Arabidopsis thaliana: one gene and its partners. The protein of the gene in region 3 interacts with the protein of the main gene of each other region in a pairwise test. Each region holds a gene or a part of one and is shown on either strand. Other genes may lie near its edges.

Region 1 (5,408 bases), on a different chromosome or scaffold from region 3:
ACAGTTCATGAGACTTTGCGACGCCGTTTTTGACATATTGAACAAACGGTTCGACAAAAGCTTCTTCATCATCACCATGACGAACAGAACAAAAAAAAAATACGAAAAATCGAAATCCCAGAAAGGAAGAGAAGAAAATGAATTCGATTTCAGTTACTACTTGAAAAAATGAAACAGCAAGAGCGAGCTTTATATAGGTAACCAAAGTTCTCTGTTACAGTTTTAATTTTACGTTTAACATAAATCTTGTGGGGCCTTATACACGTCAGCAGATATATCACGAGAAATTCAATAAACGCTGCCTTTTCGTGAATATTGATAGGTGACTACCGTCCACGTGGATAGATTTATGTTGGTGATAGCTTTCGATGCCTCAATAACCGTCCGATTAAATTTTAAAAAGATATAATATCTTGATAACTTATTTGACTATGAGTAAATTACACAACAGAATTAAAAAGAAAGGCAAAAACGTGTCGCCACATTTTCTGTTTTATCTTGTTATTATCTCTTGCATCTAGTAGTAAATGGTAATGTTGAAGAGATGATTTTTTGAGATGTAATAATGTCTATATAAGGAAAACTTAGTAAATATTTGAAACAATGACGTGTTGCCACATTTTTCGTTTTTATCCTTTGCACACCTAATAAAGAGATAACAAATGTGATGTAATGTGGATGTAACTACTGTGTCTGGTTAGGTAATTCAGTAAATTTAAACACACGGACGTGTCGCCACATTTTCTGTTTTATCTACAAATTTGTTTTTCAAAATAGCATCACCGGATAAACATGTTGAAAAAATAAATAATAAAATTAATGATAAACACGTAGAATTAAAATATAATTTTCTCTATAATTTATAAACACGTAGAATTAAAATGATAAACCTGATATTTACGTTTAAATCCAAATACATGTTATCTTGGTTGTACTGCTGATTCAAATTTGATGGTGATGGAGATAATAAAAATTTAGTGTGTGTTTAAATCAAGATCATGTAAACCCTGTTTAAATATGCCTTGCTATGTCAACAAACTTATTTTATACTACATAGTTCCGACTCAACGATTATCTCGGTCTAATTAAGACATGAGACATCACATAAACCATTTTGGTACATCTAATTTTCACGTACGTTAGAATATTTTTTATAATGTGATATTCTTATTAGACGAATCTATGCACATCAGCACATGGCATATATGAATAGGAAATGAACTGAAAACATAGATTCACAAAAAAAAAAAAATGAAAGATATTATTAAGAAAGTGAGAATAAAAATCCTAAATTTTTCACGCTACCTGTACCAACACCACAAGACACGGATATTCCGAAAAGAACGGAAGCCATTACACATTGATTATACACCATAAAATTTTATTACTTATATGAGTAAAAAATTGATTTTAAATAAATAAATAAAACGGCAAGTTGTGTACGGAGCAAATGTAGCAAATCCTATGCAGAAGTCGATCGTACAACAAGATTGAGATCGAATATCGCATTGATTCCAATAAGAGAGTTGGTGAATCGATGTATATGGTTTTAGGTTGGTGGCATATTTTATTCAACTGAAGTTGCCATTTTTTGATGATTCTCGAAGATTATAGACTTAAGACTTAATTAGAAGTTATAATCATAGTCAGTTCCAAAAAAAAAAAAATATATATATATATATATATATATATCAGATTTCGAACTAACAGTAGTTTGCTATTCAATAAGTGATTTTCACGATGAAAAAGCCATAAAATAAAAATAAAAATTGTTGGTGCCAGCTAGAATAAGACTTCGAATAAGCAGAATAAAATGGTACTAAGCAGAATTAAATGGGCTTTTTGGAACTCTGTTTTTGGATTGGGCTTTTTAATTTGGGAACCAACAAATGAGATTGGCCCATTCAAGAAACATATAGTAATAATTATTAATGTATTGTATTCGCCTCGGTCCATCTTAAACTCTGTATGCTCCGTTGACTTGATTGGTTTTACGCCCCAAAACAACGCCGTACCTTTGGATAACTAATCTGAACACCAATAAGGCAAGAACTAGCGAATCTATCAGATCCAACCAGAGTTCCTGTCCTAAAACACATTGTTCATCATTACAAATACGAGCCAAAAGAACAGAGAGTTTAATACTCAAAAAGACTGAAACCAACCAGGGACTCTATTACAGACACATGAACCTCTTCATATTTCATCCATTACTATCCAAATTTTTTAGTACATGAAAACATAGAGATGATTACACCAACAAACTCTAGAGAACCTGTCCGAGATTTCTACAATTCCAATCTAATAATGATTCCCGACAAAAGGAATCGAACACAAATCAGTTCTGTCTATAGGCAATGTAATTAGCCAAAGCCAACAAAGGAGCAACCTTATCAGAATCAAACCCTAAAAGCTGATCACGAGCCTCTCTATTCAATTTCTCAGCAAACTCTCTCGATTTCTCCAAACCCATAATCTTAGGATACGTCAACTTATCAGCAATCAAATCTTTCCCAGCAGTTTTCCCTAACTCTTTCGACGATTTCGTCACATCCAAGATATCATCAACCACCTGAAACAACAAACCAATACATCTCGCAAACTTTCTTAACCTCTCAATCTCATCATCACTTCCTCCACCAACAATAGCTCCCAAAACAGCAGAAGCTTCAAGCAACGCCGCCGTTTTATGCAAATGGATAAACTCCAAATGCTCTAAACCGACGTCGTTTAAATCTAACCCTTCACTACTAATATCCACGACTTGACCCGCCACTAACCCTTCTGTTCCTATCGCTTTAGCCAATTCTCCAACGGCTCGAACCACTCTCACCGGAGAAACAACATCAGAACTCGTCGCCGAAGCTAAATGCTCGAAAGCGAAAGAGAGAAGCGCGTCTCCGGCTAAAACAGCGACGTCTTCACCAAACACTTTGTGGTTGGTCGGTTTTCCACGGCGGAGATCGTCGTTATCCATACAAGGGAGATCGTCGTGGATCAACGACATGGTGTGAATCATCTCGACGGCGCAAGCTGCTGGCATAGCGGTTGATTCTTCACCTCCGACGAGTTCACAAGCAGCGATGCAGAGAACTGGTCTAACTCTTTTGCCACCGGCGAGAAGAGAGTAACGCATCGCTTCGTGGATCTTGAGTGGCTCACGGAGAGGAACAGCTGAATCTAAAGCTTTGTTGACTAATTCGGCTTTGGTGATGATGTACGACATGAAATCGAAAGAGGATGGTTCAGATTGGCGTAGATTGTCTTCTTTTGTAACAACGGAAGAAGAAACGATTGAAGAAGATGATGAAACGGTGCGTTTTGATCGAAAGGAGATGGGTTTAGTAAGAGTTATAGGACAAGATCTGGATCTGGATTTGGTAAGGATTGAAGATGGATGATGATGATTGTGGTGGTGAACAACAATCCATGAACCTAGAGTCACTGAAGCCATGGCGATTTCTGAAATCTGAAATTTTAGATTTGAGAATTTTTTATATTAGTATTTATTTTTTTTTGTTTTTTTTGGAAAGTGGAGTCAAAATTATGAATGGAGAATTGGATTGGCCATTAGTGAGAAGCTAGGAAGTAACAGATAGGGTTGTGTTACGGAATGGGCCTTGTTAGTGGTGGAGATGACGATCTTCACTTTTATTGAAAAGCATCTTTTTTCTTTTTTCACTGTTTTTGTTTTATTGTTTTTAAGTCCATGGAAAATGTTTTTATAGCATAAAGATGATATTTTTCTGGCTTAGATTACAGATAAATTACTTGTCAGTTTTTTAGATTTTTTTCTTTTTATTTTCAATTCTATACCACAAATATATACTATTGTTGTTTTGGTAAAATATCAAAATCTTAAACACATAAATCTCATCTGTTATTTTTTTCTATACCACACATTGAATTTAGATGATTACGTAGTGATTAATGATTATCTTGTTTTGTAGATTTGTTACACGAAATTAGTAAAAATGGCATAAAAAATGCATACGGGTCACAAGTCCCACTTGTGGACATTTTACACGAGCTCGTTGATCTCTGACAACTGCTTGGTTTTAACTTATTAAAAGCGCGCAAACTACCAAATTTATTGTTGGAAGATAGATATAACTGAAATGGGCCTAACGGGCTTTAATGGGCCAAGCTGGAACTCAACAAACAGGTACGAGATTTTTGAATTATTCTGATTCAGCGTCGAGAAAAAAGCTACGATTGTGTGTTTATTATTATTGCAACCATTTCTCTGCTGTTTCTTCGTCGTTTAGCTTCAGAGGACGACAATCCGGTAGGCGAGAGAGAGAGATTAATCAATCGGCGACCTTTTTAATTCGCTCGTAATTCGTTTTGATTTTCGTGTTTTTGCAACGAATTTAACAACTTGTAAGCTTCTTCTTCTTCTTCCTTCATTCTCTTTGTTTGATTGTCTTGGTGTTTAACTTTCGATGTTTCGACCTAGTCGTTGTTTTGAGATTTCTGATTCTACTTATGTGGAAGGAAAGTCTTCGATCTTTGAACCTGTTAAAGTAGATTAGCTTGTCTTGTAATAACGCGTTTTCATTTCTGAGATTTTGGTTATAGCTTTGTTTTAGGGATCTTATGATTTGGGATTCAATTATTGTGTGAAAGTCTAATAAGCTATGTTACCAAGATTAATATAAAAGTGGGCATATGAGTTTAGTTGCAGTTGTGATTTGATATATCGAAAGGATCGATTTTTTAAGGTCTTCTTTGATCTGTCATAGAATTAATCATTCATTCTTTGATTTGTCACAGCTGTGTGTGTGGGTGTGAGTTTCTTAAGAGAAGTCAGAAACAATGATTGGGTTGTTTAAAGTAAAGGAAAAGCAAAGAGAACAAGCTCAAAATGCTACTAGAGGAGGAGCTTCTGTTAAGAAGCAATCTGCTGGCGAACTTCGTCTTCACAAAGGTATATAAATGCCTTGTTGATCTTTTTTTTGTTCTTGCATCTCCAAGTTTCAATTTTTGGTGTTTTTTCCGATTTTGAACTGTGCAGATATATCAGAGTTGAACCTTCCTAGCTCTTGTTCAATATCTTTTCCAAATGGCAAAGATGATTTGATGAACTTTGAAGTATCCATTAAACCTGATGATGGATATTACCAGTTAAGTAGTGCTTTTTTTCCCACTGAAACCTGCGTTTTTGTCTCTTAAAAACTTTTTGGAAACTTATTTGTTTCTTTCTTACCAAATAAACAGCAATGGTACGTTTGTTTTCACATTCCAAGTCTCTCCTGTGTATCCACATGAAGCTCCAAAAGTTAAATGCAAAACCAAGGTAGGCCTCTCCTCCTTTTACATGCCTTATATAGTTTACAGCTTCTACTTCAAAATCGTTTGTGTTGTAGAAACTCTTTGTTGGTTTTCTTGTTTAGGTTTATCATCCC
Region 2 (6,415 bases), 3.8 Mb from region 3:
AACCATCATCTAATGGGCAGCGCTCTCGGGAAATTATTGCAACTTCGGTGTCTTTGAACTTTATGGTGACCGGGCTCTTGCGGATGCACTTGATATTGCGTTGAAGATGACCCTTGCAATACCCTTGGCAGATATATTAGCATATCGCAAGGTATGTGTGGCATTGCGTTTTCCACGTGCCTCCAATAATTTCATTTGGTGATCAAATCAACACGTTTTTGATATTGTTTGCATTATCTGAATTATGTTTACTCTGAATTCTTTCTTTGTCGTTATAAAATCTCTAATCTTTATAGTCTTCCTTTCATCCTTCAGCTTACAAAGGCATACTTTGGGTTCGTCGAGGTTTTGTGTGCCAGTCATATTACCTTCATATTGAAACTGGACACTGCAACCTTTATGCATCTCGTAGGTTCCCTTGAATCTGGACTCAAGGGGTTGGACACAAGTATTTCATCACAGGTGAGAATTGTGACAAAACTGTTAAGACACATCAATTTATCAAGAAATTCTTAAAGCTTTAAGCTGCAAAAGATATTCCTCGAAATGCAACTTTCTGAAGCATTGATATCTATTATCCTTTCAGTGTGCAATAGCTGTCGACAATCTTGCTTCATATTATTTCAATAACATCACAATGGGTGAGGCACCTACTACTCCAGCTGCTATTCGTTTTGCACAGCACATTGCAGACTGTCCGAGTTTGTTCCCCGAGGTAACTCATTACACTCCTCAATCTCTCTTTGTTAAATTGAACACAATAATGATGGGCTATAATGCCTTTTAACAAATATCCTCTTACAAGCAGATATTGAAGACACTGTTTGAAATAGTTTTATTCGAGGATTGTGGCAATCAGTGGAGTCTCAGCAGACCAATGTTAAGCTTGATTCTTATAAGTGAGCAGGTATGTGTAATTTATACATTTATCTCTCTTGTGCAGTTTTCTGTTCCGAATGAGCTTTGTTGTTCATTCATCTAACTTATTTCAATTGATTTCCCCAGATTTTCTCTGATCTGAAAGCTAAGATCCTCTCATCACAGGTGATGATCCAAAATTCTATATCTATATATATTTTACCCCTGAGTGTTGCTTTTTGTGTATGCCTTAGAGCATTATTCTAATGGTGCAGCCTGCGGATCAACACCAGCGACTCTCTGCCTGCTTTGACAGTCTTATGACAGACATATCGCGGGGATTAGATTCAAAGAACAGAGACAAGTTCACTCAGAACTTGACCCTTTTCAGACACGAGTTCCGCGTTAAATAAAATCGGCCAAACACAGTCCCTGAGCCACAGTCTACTACATTAGGGGTCTCATCAAAAAGACCCACATGACACAGTGAACCAGAAATCTTCAGAAGTTAAAAAATGGAAAAACAAAAAAGTAGTCTCGAGATTGTGGTACTGTACAGTTTCTTTATTCTCTCAGAAGAAAGGGTAATATGAAGAAAGATTTACGTTTTGGTGGTTTCCTCGCAATTGTGGCTTAATTCATCATTGGGATTTATTTTGTCTCTTGTCAGCCCCATAACAAGGTTGATGTAAAACATTGAAATCTAGGGTTTACTTTTGCAAATGTTGGGAGCAGTTAGGTCACATATTCTTTGTAATGGTAAACAAATCTGAAAGAAAATGCAGTATTTGTTTTGTTTATTGTCTGGATTTTCGTATAACTCTCTAGTATTTATTAGCCTATATTGCTCATACAGTAACTCTTGCATTACTGCATACCACAACATAGATGGCTTTCGAAAATGAAAAAAAAAACTTTACACAAGGAATATATAACACAAATCTTGAAAATTAGGGAGTTTATTCAAAATGTTCTTCTTCAGCGAGGGCTTGATGTAACACAAAGGAAGAAATTGCCGGCGATAATTTCTTATAAATTAGGGTTTCCATGAGGACGCTGTAGTCATTTGGCACTTTTTTAATACAAAAGAATTCTTTAAAATAGTAAAATAATTGACAGCTGTGGGATTTGAACCCACGCCCTTTCGGACCAGAGCCTAAATCTGGCGCCTTAGACCACTCGGCCAAACTGTCTTGTTGTATTTACACATCGATTTGTAATGAATTAACCTACATTATCCGGTTGGCAAGAAAGTTTGTGAATTAATAATCGAAGTGTAAATACAACAAGACAGCTTATGATGACGGAGTTGATGGCTACTATATATCCTATTATCTTCACCGGAGATCATCTGGTGAATTTTTTTAGTTTGTGAAGAAGTACTTTACATAACCGATACTTTCCCATGTTTACTATAGACAAAAGTTAAAAATTCTAATGTTACTTTTATTATGTAATTACTTTTATTATGTAAAACATTTATATGACGAGGTTTGGCTCTCCTCAGTTCTCATAGGCTTGGCTTAGCTTTTGCAAGGACCAATTTCAAAGGAGGCCATTGTTTTCTAATCGAAAGGGTCAAAGCGGGGGTCATGCTCGCTAGCTGTTACCATCCCGGTGCAAAGACATGTCGGACACATCACCTGATTCATATACAAATACACATTTCAACATTACAAGGACAACAATGAATTATATAATACTCAGATCAGATTGCATGAAATAGAGAGAATCTTACCTTTCCTGCGCCGGAACAATTTAGACATCTTTTTGTGGTCGCGACCTGCATAAGCTGGTTTGTAGCTCTAGGTCTTGTGATGGGATCAATGCTCAAACACACACCACTAGCTGAGCATCGAGCGCATGGCAAGTATCCTATTATCATGTGAACACAGACCAGTGAGCATTTCTCCAACTCATTTTGAGAAGTAATTCGAAGAAAAAATCAAGAATTTTCATGATATATACAATAAAATTACCAGTCCCAAGGCAGTATTTGCACCTCTTCTTCTCTTGTTGTTTAACATTGTTAACTTCGATTAGCATCAAGGTTGAAATGACTCCCACGGCCCCGCCAGAAAAAGATGCCACAATTGGATCTACCTGGCTACATTACAGAACAAAAAAAAAAAAAAAATCAATGTCGCTGTTTCAGATTCAGGACAAGTAAAGTTGACTAGTTTGACTATGTTTTCAATCATATTAGTCTTCAAGCTACTGAACTAGTAGTAGTACCTTAATTGCAAGGGTAGATGTAAGCTCCTTATAAAATCTTCATAAGAGGTTCCTCCAAGTCCTACCTTCAGTTCCAGCTGCCATGTAAAATCATCAATTTATCATTCAAGGATTAGAAAAAACAAGAATAGCTATTGTTCTTCTGGTAAAGTTACAGTAACTCAATAAAAAACCAAAAAACTGTATACATCACAAAGAAGGAAAAATAGTAATCTCCACAATCTGTTGCTATCAACAAAAAGCAAGTATATTTAGATTAATGTGCCATTGTTGTTGCATCACTAATAACTTGATGGATCCTGCAAAATATAGCCAGGAAAGTAAATGCATATATTTTAAAGAGCTCTCGTGCATTGTTGTAAGATTAGTAGGGTTCTAAGAGCTGCAGTAAACTGAGATGACTGTGTGAAAAGCATATTAACTCAAACAAAATCTAGAGCTTTGATATTGCTATAGGCGAACATAAAGAAAGAAACGTGGAGTCTACTACTCTTGTACTTACATTAGGTGCAATGAGACCACCAAAGAAGATAATTCCCGATATCAATGCAACGCTGGTCGAATAGAGTTGTTTCAAAGTCTTTGGTGTCTATATCAAAAGATAAGAAGCAGAGACAAAGAAGAGTTAAAACAGAAGGGAATATCAAAAACTGAACAAGAGACCGTTTCATAATTTGTAACTGACCACATTAGGGAGGAAAGGAATAGAAGATGTGATCTCAGGCATCTCGGTAGCCTCGAGCTCACTGTCCTCATTGATGGCTTTAACACTCTTGATACGTTGCTGCACACGTAACCTCCTCACTTCCTCCATGAGGAGAAATATCTTATTGCGTCTACTCCTTATGTTATCTTGGATTTCCTGAAGCTGCATCTGCACAAAGTCTTGAACTGTCTCTGATCCCTCAATGATACAGAAGTTACTGAAACAATATCCACCAAACAAATAATCTATTACCAGTTAGAATCAAAATGATAATCGTTATACACGCTATAGATCATATACATAGCTACAAGGCTCCCACTTAATCACTAATCGAGCTCTCAAACAATAGATATCGATTTGGCCAAACCCAGGTGAAATTTGAAGATGAAACCTAGAATTCATCAATAAAGGAAGAAATCAGAGGAACTTGCTTTGGGACGGTGTCACCGGAGGGAGGAGGACGGTTGTTGCTGCCGTCTGAACAGGAGAGGAGAGAGCGAGATGAGCCATGGAAGAGAAGACTGGGGCTAGGTTTCAGATAAGATGAGGGAAATCGAAGCAGGGATTTGGAAGTAGATGGAGAAGAAAGTAGAAGATGATGGCGATGAGGAGTAGCAGAAGAGAAGCACGTCATCTTCTTCTCGCCCAACGCTTTTTGCTGTCTATCGTCTTCTTCGGATAATTTTTTTAAGTTATTGCAACTTTTTGGAACCCTCCGATCACTACGAAGGTTACCATTTTGGGCTAAAAGTTAGGCCTAAACAAACTCTAACCGAACCAGCAACATATCTTAAAATGACACAGTTGTGATCTGCAGCATCCAACATAAGAAGATTCAATATACTAGCAGTATCATGTTAGTGAATTGGGAAAGTTGTAATCTAAAATAAAATTGTTATATGAACGTTTAGGAGAGTAATAATGACGCATATGTATCTTCTTTACAAGTGGAAACAAGCCAAGTTAACTAAACTTGAAGTTGACAAAAAAACACCAGAATTTCTCACAAAAACAAACTGCCTCTAGACACAAACCCTCTCATGAAGGAACACACACAGACACAGGTAAGTTTAGTTTTGGATTTAGACAGAATAAGAAGCTTCAAGTTTGGGAAGAAGGGATCTCCAAGCATCCGCGACACTGTTTGCTAAGCGAGCTTGTCCTTTCGCAAACTGATGGAATGCCACTCCCATCTCTTCCGTCTTCTGCTCTTGAAACCTTACTATCTCATCTTCCATTCTCTTTACTATCCTCTCAAATCTTCTCGTGGCTTCCTCACTTTCTGCTTTTATCTGCATTGTTGCGGTATACACCACAAGTTCAAGCACCCAAAAGCATTACTACAAAATTTTCAAGGATTGTTTTGAGTTCTTCTTACCTCTCTGTATTCGATCTCAGCTTCTCCTACTTTGTCTGAACGTGTGAGCATGAGTTTGTCACTACAATAACAGACGAGAATTTCTATAATGTTCTACGACGATTGTTGACAGAGAAGACAAAAAGGGAGAGAAGCCATCATACAGATTTATTTCTTTTAACTTTGTTGTTTCTGACAATTCACAATGTTGTTTGAAAGCAGTGCCTCGTTCTGCTATTGTTGCCTGGAAAAGCAAAATATGGAAACAAAAAGGTAAGAGTTTAGTACCAGCAAAACGAAACCATGAAAGAGAAATCAATCCCACAGGCAAAGGCTAGAGAACTCACCTTAATCGATTGTACATAACGAACATAGTCCTTCAAGGGTTCCTCGAAGTTCATCAGGACTTGTTGAGCCTACAAATAGTGCAAGATAGGTCAATAAAAGCATCTAGGAATATAGAATAGATGAATTTCGCCAAGATATATACATTTCTTACTATAATGATTTAGAAAAAAAGAAGAAGATGATCTAGTCTTACAAACTTAATACCTCTTTCTGGAGCTTAATCGATAACAGTTCAGATTTAGTTCCAAGATCGGAAAATGCTTTTCCTGTAGGTTCACCCTCACAAGCCCCAAGAAGTTTTACAGCCTTGCCAAAATCCAACAGTGATTGACCCAACTCTGCCAATAGGTTGATACAGCATTAAAACTGAAGATCCATTCATGCGGTTGGGAAAGAGAAAACAGAAAACATAACAGAATTTATATAGACTAAATTCTGATTTGTGATATTTTTATTACCTCTATGCCTCTTGACTAGGCGATACGCATGCTTCTGAGCCTCAGTCAAGTGGTTCTCAAGCTCGAAAATGTAATGTTTAAGCTTCTCGTAGTCAGCAGTAGTTTCTTCAACAGGTTTTTCTTTTCCAAGGACAGCATCACTAACTTTTGACTGGACATCCTGTCAATAGTGCAGATATGGCAGTAAGATGATGGCGCACCACAAAGGTCAATAAAGAGCAGAAAAATAATATTTACATGGTCAGAAAAAACATTCTTACCCTAAACATTTGCATTAGATCTGCAGGCTTCTTGAATATACTAGTTTCCTGAAACCTGAATCTGTCCATTGTCTGACGAGAAAAGTAAACTGTCATTAGAGACAAGAACCTTCTAATATGCAAATTGCAGTCCTTCCAGTAGGAAAAAAGAAGAAGCATTCTACGAGCATTTTTATGTGAAGATGATGTAGTA
Region 3 (8,593 bases):
ACTTTTGTAATAGCTTTCCTCGTGCTGCTTTCTGGAGCTGCACTCAACGATGAACACACCGAGGAATCAATGAATGCTGGTACCTACTTTTGCTACATAGTGAAACCAGGCGTTTTCTCTACCGGTGCTGTGCTTTCGCTTGTTACTATTGCCCTTGGGATTGTCTACTATTTATGTTTGACTTCAAATAAGCAAATTGTTGCTGCCACAACGACCCAAGGAACAGGAATAGCAATGGGGCAGCCTCAGATTCCAGAGAGAGTAGAAGATCCTGTTTTTGTTCATGAGGATACTTACATGAGAAGACAGTTCACTTAAAAACAGACAAAGCTTGCTTGTAAAGCACGTTAGGTTTAGTAGAAGATTTAGACAAAATGATTAACGGATATGTGTTTGATTAAGAGTATTGAAACTTTGTAATGATTGTTATTCTTGATTGAAGTAGAAATCTTTGAGAACCCCAAAAACGTCACTTAGTTTTGTAGTTTTTTTCTCTGAATCTTTCTTATTTATTATGCAAGTCAAAAGTGGTTGTTGGGAAGAGAAGTGTTCGTCTCATTTACAACAAAAATTCGATAGCGATATATAGTAATCGAAATTTTATTCCCAAACAAGGGAACTTTGTTATTGATAGTTGGAACTAAAAGTTTGTAGAGAAATTTCAATGATACATATCCACCGTTAGAGGAACAACCACCACATGTTCTACCCAACCCTCACAACAACCAGTTTCTTCAAATCTTGAGTCTAATAAAATGCCAACACATCTACTCTCATTTCTTCTCATTTATAAACCAGTTTGATAGACAAGATATTAATAAGTGCATATAGTAAAATCTTTCTTATTCGTAACAAAGTTATTGTAAACTTATAGAATGGTTGTGAAACTATATGGACAGGTAACAGCAGCTTGTCCACAAAGAGTCTTGCTTTGTTTTCTCGAGAAAGGAATTGAATTTGAGATTATTCATATCGATCTTGATACATTTGAGCAAAAAAAACCAGAACATCTTCTTCGTCAGGTAAAAAAAACAAATTTCTTAAACTTAAAACATAAATATATTATAATTATTGTTTTCATGTGTAGCCATTTGGTCAAGTTCCAGCCATAGAAGATGGAGATTTCAAGCTTTTTGGTAACATCCTAATAACAACATTTTATAAACATTCTTCTATCATTTTCTTTATAGTGTTTTGAAATTTGGCTCTTTATCTTCTAAGAATCACGAGCCATCGCGAGATACTACGCTACCAAGTTCGCGGACCAAGGCACGAACCTTTTGGGCAAGTCTCTAGAGCACCGAGCCATCGTGGACCAGTGGGCTGACGTGGAGACCTATTACTTCAACGTTCTGGCCCAACCCCTCGTGATTAACCTAATCATCAAGCCTAGGTTAGGCGAGAAATGTGACGTCGTTTTGGTCGAGGATCTCAAAGTGAAGCTAGGAGTGGTCTTGGACATATACAATAACCGGCTTTCTTCGAACCGGTTTTTGGCTGGTGAAGAATTCACTATGGCTGATTTGACGCACATGCCGGCGATGGGGTACTTGATGAGTATAACCGATATAAACCAGATGGTTAAGGCTCGGGGTAGTTTTAACCGGTGGTGGGAAGAGATTTCGGATAGACCGTCTTGGAAGAAGCTTATGGTGCTGGCTGGTCACTGAATTAGCTCCAATTTATGATGATCTGAAGAACCAAATAAGCTTTATAGTTTCTGTTTTATGTTTGTGTTGTTTTGTACGTTTCAGTAATAAATTCAATATACTTTTAAGATTCATGTCAATGCTAAGACCATAGTTCTCTATTCTTAAGTTTTTACTCTATTTTTGAGTGAGATATAAAATGGGGTTAAAATAGAAGTGGAGTTTTTACATAGTATACAAGGTTACTCACTTGTACTATTATTCGAATATAAGAAGAACTTCTTTCTGTATGTATATCACAAGATTATTTCATCAACCAAAAATTGTATATCCCCTCATTAGGCCAAGAGAACTATAACTAAAATAAAATTAAAAAAAAAAATACTTTTTTACATTCAGAAAGATAATGTAACATTATAAGAATTTGCTTCCCCATTAATATGTATATATTAGTTAACATAATAAATTCGAGCCTAAGTTTTTTCTTAATCACAAAAAGCGCTCTTAGGTTGTTTTTGTTCCACTTTCCTCTCGCTCTCATATCGATAGTCTTGAACTTGAAGTCTTTAGTACTGATTTAGCATAAGCCAATGGCAAAGCTGCAATTTTCTTGACTTTCCCCACATAAGCTCTCTTAGTAAAATTGTTGTAATCATTCGCTTCAATCTCGTCCAGTATTCTCCTGTACAATAGCAATGAAGCCCATACCTGAAACATTGCAGCCAAGTCCTCGGGGTTAAAATCGATCCAAAAGAAATAAGTAAACGGTAAACTTGCGGCTGAAGAGTGTTTTAGAGACACTTACAGGCCATCTGCTAGCGGCACTGAGCTCGGTGACGCCTTTCTCAGCTTCGTCGAAGAACATTCTTGCTCGTTTAAGCTGCATTTTCATGAAGTTTCTCCATTTATCAGTTACTTTTCCGGCGAATATGTCTTCATCTGAAAGACCAGCCTGAGCCAATTCATCCTGAGGCAGATAAACCCTTCCTCTTCTCGCACTGATAGTGAGAACAAAACCAATTTAAGAGAGATATGTGAATCAAGAAACCGGTTTAAAAGAAGCATGTGAAATCAAGAAACCGGTTTAAGTGAGATATGTGAAATCAAGAAACCAAAGCTCTATTTAAAATATATAAAAAGACTCACTCTTCGCCTACGTCTCTGAGTATGTTAGTAAGCTGATTGGCTATACCAAGGGCCAAGGCAGCGTTGTAAACACTTTCGGTTGTTGCTTTCGACTTAGGATCGATTCCCATAACCGGAACGCTCATCAATCCGACGGTTCCAGCGACGTAGTAGCAGTAAAGGTATAGATCATCGAAGTTCTGGTATCTCGATTTCTTCAAGTCCATTCTCATTCCTTCGATCATGTCTCGAAATGGCTGCAACATAAATAAACATTAGACCAAAGTTTTATAAGGTTTATTGCAATGGACTGAATGCAACTCTTAACTCATGTAATGAAATGAGGAAGTAAGATAAGACAGAGCAAGGCTGACCTGAATATCGACCGGGTATCTAGCAACTGTATCAGCGAGAGCAGCATCAAGCATATCGAAAGGACGACCACGGAAAAGATCTTCTAACCTTGCTTCCCATCTATCTAAAGCCATGGGAGTTATATGTGAAGCATTTGGCCCATCCACAAGTTCATCAGTTCTTCTACACCAAACTGCACAAAAGACAGAGTAAAACTATCAAATTCAAACCAATCAAACATATAAGAAAACAACTTTAAAATTCCCCATATGCTTTGGATACTAGTATGTCCTAGACAGGGGGTCATTAGAGTAAAATCTCCAGAGTTTAAGACCATTGGGCCAAAAAAGCCCATTAAAAACCCATATTAGTAACTTTTTTTTTTTTGGACAAACCCATATTAGTAACTAAGCTAGTCTTTTTGGGTCTTTATTCTTTATCTTCAAAGGGTGCAAATTTGGATGCTTGGTGTTCATGGACTTATCTTAGACACAAGGTAACCACACAAACTAACTAGAGACCTATCTTTCTACATGAGTGTAAGATTCAAGGAATCTATTTCAGCTTCAACTTCTCTTGTTAAGACAACTTAACTAGATACTAACCAAGAGCCACAATAGATTGTTTGTAGAAATCTACTTTGAGCATCACTTTATCCTACAATTATAATCAATGTTGACAATGCAAATATTCTAAAACAGCTCTTCAACCATTGGTTTTGTGCAGTAACTTACCGTAGATTGCCCAAATCGCCTTTCGCCTTTCGGGTGTCATAAGCAAAGTTCCTGCAACACAAACATTAGAACTCAGAACACCACTCTACATTACACCAAAGCCAAAGAAGAGTTAAAAAGATCCATACCAAGATAAAACGTCTTAGCATATTCAGCGCAAACTTCACCGCATCGATCATAAGCTTCACCCAACAAACTCAAACTCCCAGGAAGAACAACATCTTGTGGTTTCTTCACATCAAGGTCATAAGAAGAAGACCTTAGCTGTTTGTTCACCAAAGCAGCTTGTTTCAACACAACATTGTAAACCTTCTCTTCAGATGAAAGAGCTATCTCTCCAGAAGGACTTGCTACTAAGCTTGAAGACACAACACCAATTCTTCTACTTCGGTTCCTTACAAAAGAAGAACTCCAAGTTGGTATCTGCTTCTTCTTACCTTTGTTTAGTCTCTGATTCTGACAAGGAGAGAACAGTCTAGAAGATTCTAGAACCCTTACCAACCCACAATTGTTCATTGGGTCTGGATTTAGAGAAGAAGTAGCAACCCATAACACTGCTACAGAAGAAGACATACTCAAGTTCTTGAGCGCGTGAGAGAAAAATCTCAACTTTTTTAGTTTTCTTCTGTTGACTCTGTTTCTTCTACAGTTAGAAGAATCAAACTCCCAACTTTTTTTCAGTGAAACCCAGAATTGGATCAAACTGGTAAAAGACTAAAGCTTTCCTGCAAATTGAATACAAAAACAAGTAGATTAGGAATCGAGATCTCTAAATCTGTATATAAAGCCAAATTTAAGCGAGATGAGAAACTCAATTTCTTCAAGCAAGTAAAATAGCGAAGAGACACAAACATAAAGAGGAAGATCTTCAAAAGCAAATGAAGAACATGAAAAGAGAAAAAACAAGTAAATCCTCTAATCGTATTGGCTAAATACTCAACTGGGTTCAACTATTTTCCACTCGAAAACAAATTAGATTATGTATCGTTGTGTTACATCAACATTAGGTATAAGAGCCCAAAAGTATCAAAACAGTGAACCACATGGCAGATGAAGCTTAACCAAACGAGCGAAAATGAGTGATGGACACAAAAGCCTACCTTTCTCTCTGTAAGAACAATAGATACTGCGACAAAACTTTGAAGAAGAAGGAGAAGGAGGAGGAGATTGTCAAACACTAAATTAATCAAAAGGAAGAGCAAAAGGTTTGACCCATTAATGTGAGAAGATCCTCAAGAAGTTATATTGCAACGCTTACTGTAATATATGTACACAGACAACACAAGTAGATGATGCTGTCTCTTCCTCTATCGTAAAAAATTCTCACCCACTCAAATTTTCTTCCTTCTTTGTCTTTTTTTTTTTTTTTTGCTGGGTTTTAATGAGAATCTTGCCAGTATAAATACAAAAGTCGTTATTTTTATTTTTTGGGTCTATATAGTTTTTTAATTTAGTTTTTGACTGGCGAGATGCGACTCTCGAGTGACTCGTGTCTTAAATCAAACCTTAATAGTTTTCAAATAAAGGTAACTATCCCAATATTAAAACCCATTACCTATTTAACATGTTTTCTCTTCTTTTTCTTGGCCAAATTTATGTCTTATTATTTAGCTAAATTGATTCCTGATCAATTAGAAAGTTTGGTTAATTACATGTTTGATTTATTCATCAATTGGGCAACAGGTTGTAATTGTAAATTAATAGCTCTAAATTGATATTTGTATTACAATATTTCTTATATAAATGTAATTTAAGCCTTTATTTGATATATATTATTTAAAGCAACATTAGAAAATGATGTGATTTTAGCCTATTATAGTATTCAAAAATACAGAAAGTGTATTTATTTCTAATTTACATTCTTTTTTCTAAACTTTGTAAGTTTTCAATTCAAAAACAGAAACTACATCATCAAATTTAACAGATATATTACAAATAGTGATAAAAATGTGACGAAACATATATGTCGTTTACTAAATCGTATTCAATATAAACATTTATCGGTACTCGGTGAATTAATTTTAAAGAAAAAATGATAAAGTAATAATAATTTCACAAAAATGTGCAATTGTACATGAAGATTGAAGAACTCTATTAGAAACATTAATTTCATGTGAATTTATATTTTAGATATTTAGATTGTAATAAAAAAAAAAATTGTCCCTATTGGTGATGCTATGTTAACAAACTCAGCCTAAACCAAATAAGGATGTAAATACATATATGTTGTGGAAAGAAAAAAAAAAGAGGCATAATCATGGTAAAATACATGTTGTGTTACGAAACGTAACTATATATATACAGTAGCTTTGGATCATTGCTAAAATTCTACGAGGGTTGCGTAGAAAACTTGATCCATCTCACTATTTTATGGATTACCTTTCAAAATGTATAACGTTTTTTGTAATAACGTGGATTTTGCTACGAACATGATGAATCAAGAGTGACGCATTTTGTTGTGGAAGAAAAAGTGAGACATGTCACTATGGAGATGGGATCAATAGTTATTTAATTACATAATTAAAATATAATTAGAATATTATATAAGTCATTAAGTAATTGTTGGTAGAAAGGACAATAGGGGTTTAGGGGTGGGGTCATGCCAGTTTGGGTAAAAAAGGATTAGCAGAAGAGAGATCAGAGAGATGCCACGTGGAGCCTACGGCCAATGGGAGAGCGATAAGCTTATCAAAGATTTCAAAGTGCGGAGGGTAAAGTGGGCGACGTTGCTTTTCCACGTGTCAATGTTTCATTGGTAGGAAAAGTTAAAAGTTAGATTTCCGCTTAGTCGGTATTTGGGTCCCATACTGTCTTCGCAACTTGGCCCTCTCTCTTGCGCTCAGAAGGTTTTGTCTTTTAAGTTTCTTCTTGATTTTGGTTTTATCCTTTGTTATTTTTAGTCTGGTCCGTATTTTCTCCGTATCTTGTTTCAAATACATTCTCTCGTAAAGAAACCGCTTTTTTTGGTTTAGTACTGAATGATAAAAGTATTGTTTTCGTACGAAATTTATGTCAACCGCCCTAGTTCTAGAGGATCACCTAGACCATATGCATGGGACTTGGTCGAGCTTCGATGTGGATTAGCCCGAGTTATCAATAGAATACTGAAAATTGGCATAATTAACTTTGATTTAATGGAAATGCGTTTTTATAATATACTGAAAATTTAACAGACATGATGATTGATGAGTAGTAAATTTCAAATGGTATAACAAGTTTAATTGTTTTTTTAGTAAGTTATATATACTGACCAAGACGTTTTTGTTTGAGTCAGTGACTATCACTCTTTGTTTTTACTCAACTTAATTCCATAGATCCTGGTACTTATAACGTGTACAATCTAGAATCACAAGCGTTTAGAGATAGTGATAATTAGCTTGGCTACTTTCTCAGCTGTGTTGTTGCTTGATCGAAGGTGGAAAATGAGAGTGGTCATATTGAAGTTCTTGCTTAGTGCTATTGTTAATAGAACGGTTGGAGAGCCGGCCAAGCTTATGGATAATATATTTATATATGGAGAATGAGAATAACATAAAGATGAGACATGGTTGAACCTAATTAATCAAAAAAACAATTTACATGAATTTTTTTTCTTTAAAAGATTTCAATCTGTAACATGCATAGAAACTTGTCTCATAACCCTCGTAGTCGTATAGCAAGCATTAGTTTTATGATAGAGATGTTTCGGTTACGAAAGAAAATTTAAACCAACTTAAGTGGTTGTAAATCACGTTGTAATTTTTATGTTTATGTACAATTTCAAATTACAAATCTTCATTTTTAATTATAATCTTTGCCACTGAAATTCACGATAATATCACTAAGGTTCGATGCAATTCGTCAAACATTTCACGTACTAAAATTTGTTCGGCGAGTGATGGAGACATAGATGTAAATGGAAACGTGTACTCGTAAATTGTGTCATCTTTCGTGGCCCATAAAATTGAGATGGAGTTTTATCGTTTTCTATATCAAATAATGTAAATAACTGAATAAAAAAGGTTTTATTATAAAAAGTACCAAAGAAATGGACCGTAGTCACCATTTACATGGTTACATGGTTACATGGCGCGACACGTAGTGTCACTTAATGCTGCAAGTGTTTTTTCCTCTTTGTTTTTTGCCTCCCTGAATATTTTAAATTTGGTATATAAAATATTTCTGCTGACGAGTTTTAGTTACTCTAGTTTCTAAAATGGTCTAGAAAAAGTTGTGATATATAAATATAATAACTCGGTAATGGCTACGTACAGAGTCAGCCACGTAACACTAAATGGATGTGTCATGGACCCGTATTACACTCCCCATTATACACGGATAGCGCATACATGTAGTAGAGAATGATAATGTAGTTTTAACCTCTCAACAGGGAGATAAATAATTATGTATTTCGTTTTCTAAAGTCATAGTTAATATAAGTGATAATAAATAAGTTTTGACTTGTTTCCAAACCACTTAACAAAATGATAGTTATTTTTCTGTCCCCGAATCATTATGAATAATTTTCTAGTGGGAATTAGCTATTTCAGATTTGATAAACAAAATTTCTTTCTTTAATCAATATTATGTTTAATTGTAAAATGTACACACAATCCACAACTAGAAAGACGAATCCAAAAACTAAAGAAAATAGGAAATACTCGACCTTTATTTTCTAACGTCAATCCACCACATGATATTTGTGGTTTTTAGCGTAATAATTCAGTTCTAACACACCACATGATTTGCTAA

The links. Proteins that work in one complex are often made in the same cells at the same time.
Region 1: the proteins of PSY (region 3) and GGPS1 interact in a two-hybrid assay, tested with the Arabidopsis thaliana proteins (one study listed by BioGRID).
Region 2: the proteins of PSY (region 3) and AT5G06130 interact in a two-hybrid assay, tested with the Arabidopsis thaliana proteins (one study listed by BioGRID).

What each region holds. Positions count from the first base shown.
Region 1 is NC_003075.7:17,341,559-17,346,966, reverse strand, and holds GGPS1 (geranylgeranyl pyrophosphate synthase 1), read right to left. Parts: upstream 3,594-5,408; 5' UTR 3,455-3,593; coding exon 2,339-3,454; 3' UTR 2,102-2,338; downstream 1-2,101. Other genes in the region: AT4G36820 (calcium uniporter (DUF607)), read right to left, coding at 1-78; RCE1 (RUB1 conjugating enzyme 1), read left to right, coding at 4,819-4,930, 5,018-5,126, 5,221-5,299, 5,397-5,408. UniProt on the Arabidopsis thaliana protein: Heterodimeric geranyl(geranyl)-diphosphate (GPP) synthase large subunit. In vitro, the large subunit catalyzes mainly the trans-addition of the three molecules of IPP onto DMAPP to form geranylgeranyl pyrophosphate while the small subunit alone is inactive.
Region 2 is NC_003076.8:1,851,331-1,857,745, forward strand, and holds AT5G06130 (chaperone protein dnaJ-like protein), read right to left. Parts: upstream 4,649-6,415; 5' UTR 4,434-4,648; coding exon 4,231-4,433; exon of another isoform or gene 4,017-4,230; coding exon 3,779-4,016; intron 3,683-3,778; coding exon 3,596-3,682; intron 3,171-3,595; coding exon 3,094-3,170; intron 2,966-3,093; coding exon 2,838-2,965; intron 2,734-2,837; coding exon 2,597-2,733; intron 2,502-2,596; coding exon 2,424-2,501; 3' UTR 2,102-2,423; downstream 1-2,101. Other genes in the region: AT5G06120 (ARM repeat superfamily protein), read left to right, coding at 21-151, 316-462, 587-715, 809-907, 1,006-1,044, 1,113-1,271; SNX1 (sorting nexin 1), read right to left, coding at 4,882-5,091, 5,178-5,238, 5,321-5,400, 5,504-5,572, 5,709-5,842, 5,963-6,122, 6,223-6,294. UniProt on the Arabidopsis thaliana protein: May be associated with accumulation of carotenoids in chromoplasts.
Region 3 is NC_003076.8:5,657,653-5,666,245, forward strand, and holds PSY (PHYTOENE SYNTHASE), read right to left. Parts: upstream 5,214-8,593; 5' UTR 4,804-5,213; exon of another isoform or gene 4,588-4,803; 5' UTR 4,436-4,587; coding exon 3,991-4,435; intron 3,914-3,990; coding exon 3,863-3,913; intron 3,779-3,862; coding exon 3,734-3,778; intron 3,322-3,733; coding exon 3,149-3,321; intron 3,032-3,148; coding exon 2,796-3,031; intron 2,648-2,795; coding exon 2,455-2,647; intron 2,358-2,454; coding exon 2,187-2,357; 3' UTR 1,961-2,186; downstream 1-1,960. Other genes in the region: AT5G17210 (transmembrane protein, putative (DUF1218)), read left to right, coding at 1-318; GSTF12 (glutathione S-transferase phi 12), read left to right, coding at 876-1,022, 1,088-1,136, 1,222-1,670. UniProt on the Arabidopsis thaliana protein: Catalyzes the reaction from prephytoene diphosphate to phytoene.